Linked DNA regions of Lepisosteus oculatus. The protein of the gene in region 1 purifies or fractionates together with the protein of each later gene. This does not show direct contact. Links are inferred from orthologs where the notes say so. Each region holds a gene or a part of one and is shown on either strand. Other genes may lie near its edges.

Region 1 (3,752 bases):
TGTGTTTTTATCCCCCCCCCTCTCCCAATATACACGTATGTAAAACGCACGTTAGTACACAACTCGCCACAGGACGGGCCTGAGATTCAAAGAGTGACGGCCGATCTCTTAAATATCATATAATTTCCCAGTCGCAGGCGAGTGAAATGTACTTAAAAATATTATACAAGAAGGACACATCCGATTTATGAATATTCATCACGCCACATTTATAATACTTTATAAGTTTAAGCGGCGGACGAGAATGTTCCTGGGGACGATTCGTAATCCTCCACGAGGATCAAACGAAAGAAGGACGGGGGAAAAAAGCTGTAAAATATATGTAAACAGTAATATAACGTAAGACACGGGTGCGTTTACGTTCAAATACCTGATTATTATGAAGATCTTTTGTGCATTTGCGATCACGTAAGTCACCTTGGACAGAACTTCCAGCCCCCGTCCTAACTTTAAAATCTAATAACAGTCGACATCACAGGAGAGAGGGGTGGACGCGAATAAATCCAGATATTTTAAAGAAAAAACACCGCCAACAACAACAGTAGCAGCAGCCAAGCCGGTACGAAATAAAGCAACAACAACACCCCCCCAAAAAAAAAAGAAAAAGGAGGGGAAGAGAGGAAAACAGCCATTTGATTTAGTTACACGGAGAAAAAAATGTGCGCTCAGCACGTTAAAAAAAAGTCAGACATGACGAACCCACTAGGTTTTGCAACTACAACCAGACGATAAACACAGACCTTCAGCATGAGCTTCCCGAGAGCACGCCGTACAAAACCGAGAAACATTTACCTGAGGTCTACTGATAACTTGTCCAGTGTTGCCAGGACTCATGACAGGGTGATTTCTCTGATGTCCTCCCCAGCCGTGGGCTGTGGACCCGTACTGGGAACTCGCGTCTTTGCCCAGCCCCACGCTCGCCTGCTGCTGTGGCGGCGCGGCGGGGCCACTGTACTCGGGGTAGCCGCCGCCGCTGAAGCCCCGCATCATGGGGCTGGGGGACGTCAGGAGCTGGTTGAGAGTCGGGGTGGCCCCGGACGGGTGCTGGCTCTGCCCGGGGAACCTCTGAAACCCCCCCACGCTGCCCCCAGGAGCCGAGGCAGCAGCCATAGCAATCTTGCCATGGCCAGCAGCGCTGCTGTGGCTGTTGCTGCCTGGGCCCATCAGCGTGTGACTCCCCTGCCTGGGAGAGCTCATGATCCCATAGCCTGCGCCGCCGTAGCCCGGTCGGTAGCTCGGGTAGTGGTTGTACTGGCTGTTGTGGTACCCTTCGTGGGAGTTTTGAACGGAATCCATGCTGTTGGGAGCCGAAGGATGCATTATCCCCATCCCAGGGCTTTGTTGTCCGCCATGTTGATCAAAGCAAGGGCCTCCTCTAGCGTTGCCATAATAATTATTAAACTCGGGAACAGTGCTAGTCGTCCCCCCAGCACTTTGGGGCTGGCTGCTGTTGTTGCTGTTGCTGCTGCTGTTGTTGTTGTTCGCTGGTCCCAAGTTGGCGTGCTCGTACCTGCTGCCCATCTGATCCCCCGATTTGCAGGCACGGCCCTCCTCTTCACTTTTATTCAGCAGCGGCTGCTGCTGCCCGACCTGGTTTCCCAAAATATGCTCTTTCCCTCCATGTTGCCGATTCTCCGCTTCCCCCGGTACCTGCGCCTGGTTGCCGCCGCCGCTGTTGCTGTTGTTGTTGATGTTGTTGTTTTGGATTTGGTGTGAATGGAGCTGCTGGAACTGACTGAATCGTGGTGGCTGGGGCTGTGTCGGTGTGTGATGGTGAGACGGAGGAGGGGGATCTCCGCCACCAACATTTTTCAGTTTGTGATTCGCTATCAAACCCGTCTCCATGCTCGAAGAAGTAGCCGAATTTGAAGAAGATAAAGATGCAGCACTATTGACGCCCTCCTTCTCTCGCAAGTCCGAAGTGTTATTTGCAGAAGAAGAAGTTGTATTGGCCATGCTCAGCTCGTTATGGTGGTGGTGGTGGTGGTGGTGATCTACATTATTCATAGTGTTAGTTCCATCTCCAACTCCCAGAATTGCTCCCGATCCCTGTACCGTTCCCCCTCCCGATTTCCCAGAGTTTAAATCCTGATTCAGACCGCCGGATAAATTGGGATTTTTACTACCAGTCGTCGCCGGAGATGTTGTCACTTGCGCGGCCATGATCATTTCAACATTTCAGGCAGTAATCCAAACAGGCTTAGACCGAAAAAAAAAGAGGGAGAAAAAAAAGAAAAAAAACACACAGAAGGAGGAAAAAAAGGAGAAAAAAACAAGAGAGAAGTGCTCAAATGAACGAATATCCCGCAAACCGTAAAGTTCTGGCTGTACTCGGAAACGATACTGTCTCACTGGCTCTGCCTGCTCCCGCGGTGTGATTTCATGTTGAAAGTTTTTGTCCAGGTTTTAAATGAAACTTTTCTTCCTTTCCTCTCTAACCCGGATATGGGTAAATGCATGTCTCCCTGTGTCTCTCTCGCCCAGCATGGCACAAGAGAGAGAGAGGGCTCTTGCAACTATTATCCTGCTCTTTCTTGCGATTCGCGTGGAAAACGCGGACTGGATTTCTAGCCTCACCCACCGGGCTGGCAAATCCCACGTTGACCAGCCAGCGGTGTACGCGCAAGCCTGGGACGTGTTTGACGCAGATTTACTCTTTACGGAGTAAAATCAAGGATGTTTTTTTTTCTCCAAAACGGCCGGGGGAAGTCGGTTCGATCATGTTGTGGGGTATTAACAACAAACGCCCCCCCCCCATACACGTTGCTGGTTAAATCATATATATAAATAAACTTTATTTTTATTTGGCACCTTTAAAAGCGGCTTCTCAAAGCGCCTCACTGTGCAACAACAAAACAAAATTAAAAAAAAACATGAAATATAAGCACGAGTGTGCAAAGGAGAAGAGGTAGTATATGGGGTTACAGTAGGAGCAAAGAGGTACATAACAGACCCGGTTTAAGTAAAAGTCCTTCTAAAAAAGGTTTTGAGTCTTGATTTGAAACTCTTTAAAATCTTCATTGAAAATTGTGATTTTGATATGTTTTGAAGTATTCCTCCTACAGAATGTTAGCCAGAGGCAGAGGGGTTTTTCATAGTTGCCTTTCTCAACCACAAAGAGCAACACGACGATGAACCGGCTTTTAAAGGTATATTTACACATTTCCAGTTTTCCTCTGAGTGTGTGTGTGTGCTGTTCATCTCCAGACCACACAAAAGACCCCTCAAAGACTGGTTTCTGTGCTTTTAACAGCCTCTCAGTCGAGTAGGAAGCAGAGTGTAAAATGAACAATATCTTTATTATTATTATTGCACTTTTTGAACTCCATTATCTCGAGAATATCAGGGTGTTGCAGAAGAGAGTACGTAAATAGGCCGCTATTCAAAAGGTTACCGTAGTAAAGTACATACACAACATCATCCCTATAGTTTTGTAGTGTTTGGCATACATGCAGTTTACAGTACTTTAATGACTTTTGGTACCAAGTTGCTACTAAGTGTGAAGTGTATGTCTCCTTGAAGCAGTTACATTAATATGCGTTTTAAAATAACGACCTACAAACTACAATTTAATTTTACACTTAAATGAAATGCTTTCGTCACAATAGCAAGCGTATTTGGTCAAATTCGGCATTCAAACTAAACCTTATGACACTGTAACCGCGACCGCCCGACTCCTGCTGTCCACGATCCCTCGGCTGGGGGATCCGTGCTCCGTGCTCGGAGCTCCAGTCCACGTATTCCCTGTCTCC
Region 2 (3,752 bases), on another chromosome or scaffold:
TTGGTCCTACTCACTATTAAACATTTGGAACAATTCTGTAAAATAATTTCTCAAATTGTATTAAAATGATCAGATCTCAGTTTGTGTGGATCAATTTTGAAGTTACAGTACATTCATGCTTGTTTTCAACAGTATCAAGTACTAAATTACAAAAATAAAATATTTGGTATTTACCAAAAAAATATGTGTTATTGCACACAAAACAAATTCCGCATAAATGAATAATATCCTTTCACCTGCAGTTAAACTCCCCTTAGCTGCCTTGTTTGACTCTATTAAATTAATCATACTTGATCAAATACTTCTTACACTTTTTCCATGATCAATGATAAGAGCAGTATTACACTTCTGAAATCTGATTTAGCAAACTAGTCTAGCTCTGCTTTGCAAGGTGTGTGGGATTTAAATATTAACTTCTTACAGAATACCAACTTTATATTTGGCCTGTTTTAATTACCTTTAATTGCCACACTGCTAAGAGTACAATAAAAGATTTGTACATGAGTTAATAGGTAATGAACGGGGTAATTTGAAAATGTTCGTTGAGAAAGTTCTGAACAGGTAGATATGGGACAGATTCATTTTTCATTAATTTCTTCTTTGAGCGCTTTTCTTGCTTTAAGAAACCTCAAGTGCTCTGACACATTTGTCCACGTGTCAGCGCACTTCAATGCATGAACTATTTTAAATAATTAAAATGGCAGTTTCCTGTTTTTAATTTGGTAAAAATACTTTCCTAATGCTCTTCTGGGAGGGATTACAATAACTGTGCTATATATCGCCACGGAAAGATATTTTGTATCACATATAAATGCGAAAATACAGTACAACGCTTTGCAATGTCTTCAGCTTCATTCAAGATTGTTTTTTTTTCTCGTCTTCTAGCGATTCGATCGTGCAAGAGATGCCGAGATATGATATTAGCGATCGAGACAGGATTTCCTGCAAAAAGACGCATCTGCGTCTGACATTTCTTATTAGAGCCCAGCACGTTTATCGGATGCTGAGTAGCTGGGCAGAAATGGAAACGTTTGTGTTCTGCTCCGTGCGAACACTGTACGACTTGAAGTTCTCCTTCCCAAAACAGCAGTTTCACTCAGGATTCGCCCTCCCCCAAATGAAAGCACGGAGGCAGATGCAATTACTGAACTGTAAGTTTTAGAAGTACTGAGAGCAGAACGCGGACTCACAGCAGGCACTGACATACCGTAGAAACCCAGCTAGTTTTGACAGATTACTATCCTGCACCGACTTTCCTCCCCCTTCCCCCTCGGCTTTCCCATTTCTGAACTGTCCTGTCTTCAGCGGATACCTTCCATGTAGCAACCGAAGAGGTATCAGTGCAAACGCGAATGTAACCAGAAAGAAACGAGAGAGGGGAGTTAAGAAGTGTCAAGTCACGAAGACAGCGCTCGCTCTCCCTCGCAACAGAAAATACAAACCACATGAGGACAGGCTATGTCATGTGGGACTGGTTTCGGTTCCTCTTTAAGCGTTAAAGTTAACATGTCCTAACGAATATCCCTTTCCGGGACAACTTAACGTACTCTTTTACTGCTATGCTCTGGTGTTTCGGTGCTCTCGGTGTTTTATTCGGTCACACACACACACGCACACGCAACATAACGGCATATTTGTCTTCTCTCACACACATTCAGGCAGCGATCCTTCATAAATGCGGAAGTGAGGACTTTATCAACCTAGCACTCTGGTTTTGTGTTTTTCGGGCCTTTGCAAAAAATGACAAAACGGAACAATTCTCACTTGATGCCTCCTTTAAAAAACGTTATTGATGTAGTCGTGTCGTTTCCATGCACTCCAGTTCTCTAGTGCCATGCTGATCATACAAACGTTTCTGTCTTTTTTTTTTTTGTCCAGTGAGGTCTAATGTAGAAACACGGATAAAGTTGTGCTTTAACCGCGTTTCAGCTCAATTCTGCAAAGTACATTGTATTAATTCACTTACACCAGCTCATTGTTGTTGTTGTTTTTCTAGTTTTCACGGGAACACCCGACTTGTTTAAATTGACTGATTATTAATAACACAAACCAACAAAACAAACAACAAAAAAAGTAACATACACAGGACACACCGCGTTAAAGCAACGTACTGTAAGCTCCCGCTACCATAGATCATACCGATTAACCTAATGACAGAGACCGGAAATCAATCGAATAATTTAAATTACAGTATAAACTTTTTTTACCCGATAAACTGGTCTACGCACTAGGCGCAGAGAAGAACAAACCGCAGTTACCTGATGGTACGGGGAAGCAGCTGAGCCCATGGCCCGGAATCCGCTGTTCTGTTGCATTGAAGGAACCATTCTGACACCCCCCGAATTCATAGGGTTAATATTAGGGTTCAGTGGGCTACCTGTATTCATTGGGTACACACCTCTTGAAGTCATGTTAAAGCAAATTTAGCTTTAGTTTTTTTTAAAAGAAAAAACAAAGATCGGCGATTACTACAACCCTTGAAAGCGGCAAACTTTTCTTAACAACATAAATACGAACAAAAACAAATTGGATGCAGTTAAACGTCTATCTTTTTTTTAACCCTACACTAGTTCCTGGGTATTTTTCATAAACTCACTCACTCCCCTCTTGAGCAACTCAACGTTGGTTGTATTGTCGGTGTCATCATTTCCCATGAATCTAAGGCTTTGTTCAAGCCCCCTATTTATTTTAAATGGTTGGCACACAAAAAGAATTTAAGAGCCTGACCAATGTCTAAAGATAGCGATCAGACAGGGTTTGGCTGCGTGTGTCTGTAATAACACGCAGCCTCCTCCTACTCCGTGGTTTGCAGTGCAGAAAGAATTCTATATGGCGCCCTCTGCTGTTTAGTTCCGGTTAGAGCTGCGTGTATACCGCCGGGGTAGTTTGCCCGGTTTGCGATTAGTGGAATGTTGTGGAAATCGTTTTTTATAACGATCAGTAGTACAAGTAGCTACAAAAACAAGATATGTAAGCCATCTTTTAAAATTTGCAATAGAGCATCCGTTTAGTCCATTTTGATCTTCTGGTTTGCTTGCTCAGCTGTTGTCTTCATAATTCATTGCGAAGACCTGAAACCGTAACTGTAAGAGCAAATAAAAGACCAAGTCAAAATTAATAGAATAAAACAGCTTTTTTGTTCTATCAAGGCTTTCTCACCTAATGATAGAGACAGTCGATGGATTCATGGCCCAATGCAGGATACAGTACCTACAGTCCACTACTCAGGCTGAATGCTCCTTACAGACAAGATTTCGTTGTGCTTGGGAGATTTCTTGTCTGCTTCCGTATTAGAAATAGAAAGCCAGGTAAAACCAGGGCCCACTGTGAAAACGACACACATTAAAAGATGTCACGGCACTTTTTCCAAAAGCTAGGATGTCATATTGTCTTGACCAAGGTGTGAGCCATGTAATCACCACGCAGAAGGTATTGCACTCCGAAATCAAATGAGGTGGTAGCGTTGACTATCATGCCACCCTTTTACAGTACATCAATGTACAATGATTCATTCATTCTGGGTTTTGATATGAAACATTAGGTTAACCGTGATGAATGGAGTGAGGTAACTGCAAACTGCCGTCACTCTGGAAGAAGGGACTTACCCAGCCTCTGACTCTAGGACAGTTCGCACATTGAAGCAGCACCCATCCACAGGACAAGTCCCTGTGTCAAAGTGCAGTCTCTTCTGGGGATTATTCTCCCTGCACCTTGCTTTCCCAAGATAGCCGTTGGGTTGCTGTGATACTATC

What was found.
Region 2: the proteins of arid1b (region 1) and smarcd2 purify together in Homo sapiens (affinity purification with mass spectrometry; 5 studies listed by BioGRID and IntAct, with this or other methods). This does not show direct contact. The link is inferred for Lepisosteus oculatus from reciprocal best matches to the Homo sapiens genes ARID1B and SMARCD2.

Annotation. Positions count from the first base shown.
Region 1 is NC_090697.1:11,358,132-11,361,883, reverse strand, and holds the start of arid1b (AT-rich interactive domain-containing protein 1B), read right to left. Parts: upstream 2,637-3,752; 5' UTR 2,170-2,636; coding exon 793-2,169; intron 1-792. UniProt on the Homo sapiens protein: Involved in transcriptional activation and repression of select genes by chromatin remodeling (alteration of DNA-nucleosome topology).
Region 2 is NC_090723.1:2,688,549-2,692,300, forward strand, and holds the start of smarcd2 (SWI/SNF-related matrix-associated actin-dependent regulator of chromatin subfamily D member 2), read right to left. Parts: upstream 2,777-3,752; 5' UTR 2,412-2,776; coding exon 2,259-2,411; intron 2,177-2,258; exon of another isoform or gene 1,509-2,176; coding exon of another isoform or gene 1,443-1,508; intron 1,409-1,442; exon of another isoform or gene 1,208-1,408; intron 1-1,207. UniProt on the Homo sapiens protein: Involved in transcriptional activation and repression of select genes by chromatin remodeling (alteration of DNA-nucleosome topology).